Linked DNA regions of Neurospora crassa OR74A. The protein of the gene in region 2 interacts with the protein of the main gene of each other region in a pairwise test. Links are inferred from orthologs where the notes say so. Each region holds a gene or a part of one and is shown on either strand. Other genes may lie near its edges.

What was found.
Region 1: the proteins of NCU01571 (region 2) and NCU07509 interact in binary tests that used the Saccharomyces cerevisiae proteins (3 or more experiments, as listed by UniProt). The link is inferred for Neurospora crassa OR74A from reciprocal best matches to the Saccharomyces cerevisiae genes BET4 and BET2.

The regions. Positions count from the first base shown.
Region 1 is NC_026501.1:354,864-358,507, forward strand, and holds NCU07509 (geranylgeranyltransferase beta subunit), read left to right. Parts: upstream 1-1,539; 5' UTR 1,540-1,558; coding exon 1,559-1,991; intron 1,992-2,059; coding exon 2,060-2,679; 3' UTR 2,680-3,028; downstream 3,029-3,644. UniProt on the Saccharomyces cerevisiae protein: Catalyzes the transfer of a geranyl-geranyl moiety from geranyl-geranyl pyrophosphate to proteins having the C-terminal -XCC or -XCXC, where both cysteines may become modified. Acts on YPT1 and SEC4.
Region 2 is NC_026502.1:3,049,297-3,053,120, reverse strand, and holds NCU01571 (hypothetical protein), read right to left. Parts: upstream 2,449-3,824; 5' UTR 2,363-2,448; coding exon 2,354-2,362; intron 2,278-2,353; coding exon 1,410-2,277; intron 1,325-1,409; coding exon 942-1,324; 3' UTR 815-941; downstream 1-814. Other genes in the region: NCU01570 (hypothetical protein), read left to right, coding at 1-268; NCU01572 (WD domain-containing protein), read left to right, coding at 3,805-3,824. UniProt on the Saccharomyces cerevisiae protein: Catalyzes the transfer of a geranyl-geranyl moiety from geranyl-geranyl pyrophosphate to proteins having the C-terminal -XCC or -XCXC, where both cysteines may become modified. Acts on YPT1 and SEC4.

The DNA.
Region 1 (3,644 bases), on a different chromosome or scaffold from region 2:
GTCAGCTCCAATCGATCGCTTCTTCTCTGTTTTTTTTATGGTGTCCCTGTTCTGGGTGTTGCTCTCCGTCGGCTGTCACGGCGTTTGAGAGTCTGGAGGGCCTGGCCGGACTACACCAAGTCCATTTCGGGACTAGCTCCAGGAACACCGCGAGGCCAAGCCCGAAACTGTTGCTGTCCTTTCTCGATTCTCACTGGCTGCTCAACTGTTCTCTCGTCCCATTTGCTGGACGGCCATGTCTTCCGCGACAAGCGCTGTCTCCAATCCGACAGGACGGGTTCAACGTTGCTTCCAGCGCTTCACTGCAACTTTTCTTTTTTTTCACCAAACTTTGAGGTCTTTTGTTGAATCATATGACGGCATCATGTTGAATATGTGAATCAAGGGCAAACAATCGCGTCGAAACATGCCCTACAGCTACCTATCAAAAGTCTGGAACTCTACCGGAGACTTGGGCCTTGCTTTCCGGTGGTTTCAGCCACCACCTCCCGTTCCTGGACTAAAGAGTCTCGATTCACAAGTGACATAGATGCATCACGGCAAGATTCGACCTGGGCAGTCCACGTTGCAAAGTCCAAAACACCAAGCCAAGACCCGTCACCGAAGGCGTCTCGATCATGATTGCACGAGACCGTGATCTGCTGCAAGGACTACATAGTGTAAAGCTGCACTGCACTTACCCTGGCCAGATCTCGTAACATTGGACCGCATTCTTTTTTCCGATTTGACGGCCGTGGAAGAGGCTGGATGGCCGGACGTTGTTGCGCACTTGCGCCAGTCATCGACGTTGACGGTCGCAACGTTCGCTTCGAGATACGGTCTCAAATCGGCTGTGACACCGGTGTGCCCTACTCTACCCCCCCATGTAAACGAGAGGATACCGATTCGAAGCGCCGGTCAGATTCGTCATCTTGAAGCGCAAATTGGCCCAAGCAGGCATTCCAAACTGCCATCGTATGTCAACCAGCTGTTTTCGAGAAACAAGATCGTCACGCCTCATCAGGCTGTGGACAATGTCCCAAGTGGGTGGTGAGGGATGTCTTCCAGTTCAATTTGGATGGAGAGACAAATGCCTTCACCCCCCTGTACGATGACTGTTCGTATCCTCATCTTCAGCGCCGGTGCACTGTACACTTACTCGGTACGACTGCTGCCCAACCTATCAGCCCTTCATTTAAAAATAATCACGACATTCATGAGATGAAGCTCATTTACCTCATTTGCACTCGCGAGAGATCCCAAAAATCAAATGACTCTCGCAAATACGCGTGTCCCGCCTTTGGGGCATCTGCCAAGGTCACAAGAGATGATGAATTTGTCGGAGCTCTGATGATAATTGTCATTGCGCCTTTCCTCCTCCAGATTGAGCAAGTTGGAGAGGGCATTTCTTGGCATGGCGTCTGAATGGTGCAGTGTGGCTGCCAAGTACCGATTACGTAAGTAAGACCTCAGCGTCCATCTATGGTGGGGTAGTACCGGCGGGCAATGGAGGCTGAAGGGAATCGTTCAATCGTAACTCCGACTTCCGACTTCCGTTCCCACAATGCTGGTTCCTTGAATGCAGCCTAATCCCATCCAAGCTTCCACCCACCGCACCACACATAAAACCCTCAAATTCTCCAACATGACACAAAGCTTCACCTCTCTCCCGCAAGAGCTGCAGCTCGCAACCTCTGCCCACGTCAAGTACATCCAGAGTCTCGACTCCCGAAAGGACGAATATGACTACTGGTTGACGGAGCATCTGCGTCTCAATGGCCTCTACTGGGGCTTGACCGCTCTGCACCTCCTCGGCCACCCCGAGGCTCTCCCGCGCGCTGAGACCATCGACTTTGTGCTATCATGCCAGCACGAGAACGGCGGCTTCGGAGCGGCACCCGGCCATGATGCCCACATGCTGTCCACCGTCAGTGCCGTGCAGATCCTCGCCATGGTCGACGCCTTTGATGACCTCGAGACGCGTGGCCGGGGCAAGGCACAGGTCGGAAAGTGTGCGTTGCTTGTCATCAAACCTAGGTAAACCCCCATTGACACTTTGTACTGACACTGTCGGGTCCAGATATTGCCAGCCTCCAGAACCGCCAGACCGGCACGTTTGCGGGTGATGAGTGGGGTGAGGAAGACACTCGCTTCCTTTACGGCGCCTTCAATGCCCTTTCTCTTCTTGGCCTCCTTCACCTTGTCGATGTTGACAAGGCCGTTGACCACATTGCTGCGTGCGCCAACTTTGACGGCGGCTACGGTGTCAGCCCTGGTGCCGAGTCCCACTCTGGTCAGATCTTCACGTGCGTCGCTGCCCTCACCATTGCTGGCCGCAAGGAGCTCATTGACGTTGATCGCCTGGGCCGCTGGTTGAGTGAGAGGCAGATCGCTGGCGGCGGCTTGAACGGTCGTCCGGAAAAGAAGGAGGACGTGTGCTATAGCTGGTGGGTGCTGAGCAGTCTGGAAATGATTGGCAAGACGCACTGGATCGACAAGGCGAAGCTCACCAGCTTCATCCTGAGCTCGCAAGACACGGACAAGGGTGGCATCTCGGACAGGCCTGGCGACATGGTGGATGTCTGGCACACCTGCTTTGGTATTGCGGGTCTGAGTTTGCTGGACTATCCGGGCTTGGAGCCGGTTGACGAGGTGTATTGCATGCCCAAGTCGACCATCAAGCGTGTCCTGGGTCGTTAAGTGTGGTGTGATGTTGTCGGAATACAGTACGATGGCTCCTTCTATCAATCTCATCATCGTGACATGACACAGGATATCAACACAACTTACCTCCTGCCATCTAATAACCTTCCGACACGCACTCCAGGCGTCGGCAGGATACAAGGCGGGAGAAGAGAAACATCGTTCTCGTTTGGGCAAAAGACGTTATTGCATCCCTTCAGTGGGAATGTGAGGCGTTTGGAGCCCAGATGAGTAACTCCCTACTGGTTTATTGTTGCTTGAGAGTACCCAACATCAATCGACATGGTTAGGTAGGGGACATTCCATAGTGTTCCTATAATACAATTTTCTGTCACTTGAACCACTCGCACATTCTGTCTTTGTGTTGTCACTGTCTAATTGTCTACCTTTGCTCCTTGATGTTCTTGTTGGCACTCTTTGGTGTGTTCAATTCTTCTGACATTTGCAACCCAAGGCATAAAGCCATGATCCCTTCATCGTTTCCTTCGTCTTTCAAACTGAATTGTTCCTTGAGCTTTGTTTGAATGTAATGACCTGTTACTGCATCTACCCGTCTCGCAGCTTGGTCGCCTACCATTGGACAATTAGTTGCTGACTTGATGGTATCATTGAGAACAGTTTGAAGAAGTTGCCCGTTTGTTACGTTACCGTTGATTGAGATGCAGGGACATGAAATAGTCTCACCAACGACACTTGCCTTTGACATCAACAGTGAGTTCTATGAGCTGATAGCAAGTTTTCTCAGGCAACCTGGACACCTCTCGGGGCCGAAGATTAATCAACTTTTCCTGCGACTTCCTCCAGAAATCGTGATTTATTACGTTACAGTACCGCACTGCACACTCACCTTCCAGACTCACCCCTCCAAATCCGTGATGGTTGGGTCTTCTTCGTTCCTTCCCTCTCAGGCGAGCTCACCCACTTTCCTCGCCCACCGACTGACACTCAGGCACCAAGGTGCC
Region 2 (3,824 bases):
GCTCCTCGCCCTTCCCACCCTGGGCCTCTCGCTCCCGGGCATCTACGACTGGGTGCAGTGCGAGGTGCGGTATCGCAAGATCGATGGAGACTTGCTGCGGCGCGGCACTTCCTGGCAGCGGTTCAAGTTTTGGCGGACGCGGGATGCGGGGTTTAGACTGAGGAGGCGGGAGCCTTTGTTGGAGAGAAGGGAGTGGTTGGGCTTGAAGAGGAGGGAGATGGCTGGAGAGGTGCCGGTTAGTGTTGCCGATGCTTTTAGGAGTGATTAAGCGGGGAAGACATGTGTGGAGGTAGGAAGATGTGTGACACTTGACTGTATATTTTGTATTAATCTTGATGCATACGATGGTTGTAGAATCGCATTACACTCAGAGTTACAGATAGAGAACTACCTTGGGAAAATTCTCCAACGGACAAAAACACCCAGACCAATACCACTCTGCATCAACGCCAATTTTAATTACCCGTTATGTATCCATTTCGTCCCCATTTTTCCTCTTTCCTTCTTCTCTCATCACTCCCTTCACCATTCCGTTTGTTATGCTATCCTGACTTTATTCAACCCAAACAAAGCCATGAGGGGTAAGACAAGCCAGCCTACACTGACGTTGCCGAAACTTCCAACGCCGGCATGGACTCGATGAAAAGGTCCCCTGGTTGGCAAACAGGGGGCAACTTTGAGCAATCAAAGAAAAGTGGAGGATCTCAGTAAGGGTCAGTTAGTGGTTCTGTCGGTAGAGGAGACGAGATAAGAGATGGTCATGCGGCCGATGCCATGCCATGCCATGCTATGCCATGCCATGTATGCAGTACCCGTACCACGTGCACACCCGAACGGCCGCCGGCATCAGGAAGGCTGGGGATTGCATAAGGTTCGGTAATATATGCTTATTGCACACAAGTATTGAACAAGTACACACACAAATTGTACACACACACACATTACTCTTTCAATCCCAAATCCCTCTCCAAATCCGCCCACCTTCCACTCCGCATCGGATCCAGCTTCTTCAAGTTTCCCAACCAGCCCTTCAGGTCCTTCTCTTCCTGCTCATTCGGCTTTCTCCCCTGCAGCTGACAGAGATAAAGGGTATAGTCGAACAAGGCCTCATAAATCAACTTGGCGTCGTCGTAATCTTCCAACAGCTCCTGGATGCTCTCGATTTCGCGGCGCAGGTACGTGACGCGCTCCTCTTGCGTGAAGGCGGGGGCGATGGTCGGATGCTCAGCAGAGTTGACTAGGTTCAGCATGAGGAATTGGTGGTAGTACCAAAGGGATTGATCGTCGGGGCCGACGTTGATTGCTTCTCCTATTTTGTTGAGTTCTAGTATACGGACGTGGTTAGTTCTCATCCGACCGATTTTTCCCATTTGGCTAACGTAGTGACGGGAGGGGGTGGGAAAACTGACCTTCTTCAAAGAAAGCCTTCCGCGCCTCATCATTTGCGTTTCTCTCATCCAGCAACCGCGGGATGAGCTTGCTTCGCGAGTGCCAGGCCGAAAAGTTGGAGAGGTTCTGTGAAATCTTCTTGGTCGTGAACTCAAACTCTGACTCGACAAGACTCTTGCCTTCCAACTCTGGACTCTCCAGCTGCTCCACCACGTGCCGCCTGTATCCCCAGGCGTGGAAGTTGCGCTGGTCTCGCAGGAGCATCTTGGAGGTCAGACCCAGTTCTTCCTCCCATATGTTTCGCGCTACAGGGACCGGCAGTCTTTCAATCACCTGCTTGAGGATCCACAGCCGGTAGCTCCAGATCCAGTAGCATTTTGGCGATTCGAGGAGGAGCGGAATGGTAAAGTGCAGTTCCTTCTGGAGTATTTGTTGGTCGTTCTGTTGATCCTGCTGCCGCGTCTGCTGCTTCTGTTCCTCGTCGTCCTCAGCTGTTATACCACTCTTCCCAGTTGTCTGGGACTCGGGGGCGGGCGGGGTCTCGGTCGACAAAGAGGAGGAGAAGTCGGCGGAAGAGGTTGTGGTAGTGGCGGTCGGAGAAGAAGTCGGCAACGCCTTCGAGGGCGAGGAGCCAGGCGAGGGCTTGGACAATAATCCAGAGATTAGGCAGCGCCTGCGGACGTTCCATACTGTGTAGTACTCGGGGTTGAGGCGCAGGAGCTTGGAGGTGAGGGCGAAGACGTCGGAGGAGTAGTCGTTCTTTGCGGCGTGATGGCGCACCTGGTCCTCAAGAGCGCGGTAGTCCTTGATGCGCTCGAGGTCCTTCTGGCGCTGCTCTTCGGTGCGCGTTCTCGAGGTGCGGGCTATGCCGTGGTTCGATCCGCCTTGCTGGGATGCGTCTCCCCATCAGTCAACAGCCTGCCAAAGTACCTAGCGTCTAGACTGGAGTCCGGTTGTGTCTTACATCGGCCATGATACTGCTATCAACTGTCAACGGGTTGGTTTCAGGGGCTAGGTTGGATGGGAAATCGGGGCTTGCCTGAAAGGCACATACATGTTCCGTAGCCTTTGATGAGGTGACGTCGGAGAGGATGGGACGGGGCAGGCAACTGCTAACAGCGCGCTATGCCTACTGTGGTGTAGCGTCGTATGGCAATGCCGCTGGTTACCGGGAGAGCCCTGGCCTGTGTGAAGGCTTGGCGCAACAGCTCCAGTGCGAGTGGGACGTAATGAACGAGCTTATCGGTCTTATCGTGGATGTCAGTTACAATAACATCATGCAGGAACGAACTTCCACACCCAATCCTCCGTTCCTCTTTCCATCTTTCAACCCTTTTGATTCTGTGTTGTGTCTGGTCCTGGATGTGCCTGTGGTTCTTACCAACAGAACAATTACTTAATGTCTACTACTACCGACCTTGGGCATCGTGCCTTCTTGATATGGGAGAATGGCCAGCATCCTGCAATGGATTGCAGTCAAAACAAAATGTCCACCCCAACTGAACCTCGCCGGTCTCGGCATGGTCTCGTTGGGACTCACCCGTCCTCTGCCTATTCAGAGTTACTCTTTCCTATTGTGCAGACTTGGGATGACAGAGTTTTCGCTCCAACTGACCCGATCTTGCCTGCCTGTTTGACCTGTTATTGCTGAGTGTTCAGTCATCTCATGAGTTCCCTGTGCCTGACTGACCTCCTGATTGACCAGCAAACTTCTTCCACTTGAACCTTCGAGGTTGACAAACGAAACTGAACTTACTACTTCATCACAACCTGCTTCACATCCGGGGGCGTTCTTGCACTCACACACACAAACACTCACTTCACTAGGATATTGCGCTTCATCAATCAGTTGAAATGGCCGGCGTGGACGTCTAGGTGACGCTTTCTCAGTTTCGACATCAGTCTTCCCTCACAGAAAACTGCTGACCTCAACCTCATCGTCAACCCCCCCCAAATACGCCTCCTCGACTCCATCTTCTTTTCCTCCTGCTTCTTCCTAGGAACACGCACCCGGAATTATTACTACGCTTCCACCACCATAGCAGCAGCACTACTAACAATACCAGCATTTGAATACGGTTACTATCCTCGGACGGCGACTCGAGCACCGTTCGAGCACACCGACGACAAGTATTGCTTCTCGTCCAGGTTCTCGCACACAGCTCGACGTCTTTGTCGCTCCACACGCCCTTCGTTACCAGCAGATTCTCCCGGTTCTTATCATCACCATCTATCACTTCATTCAACCGACTTCACCAAACAATCTCATCACTCCAGCTTCGACAACCTGTGTGGTCTCGAGCTTGATGGGACCGGTTCACTAAACATTCTTTTTCCAGCTCATCTTTTTCTCACTTGAGGTCTGCTACTCGTGCTATCATCAGTACCTCGGTATATATCGGCTGTATCTTCGCTATGGGCAACGACAACAGCAA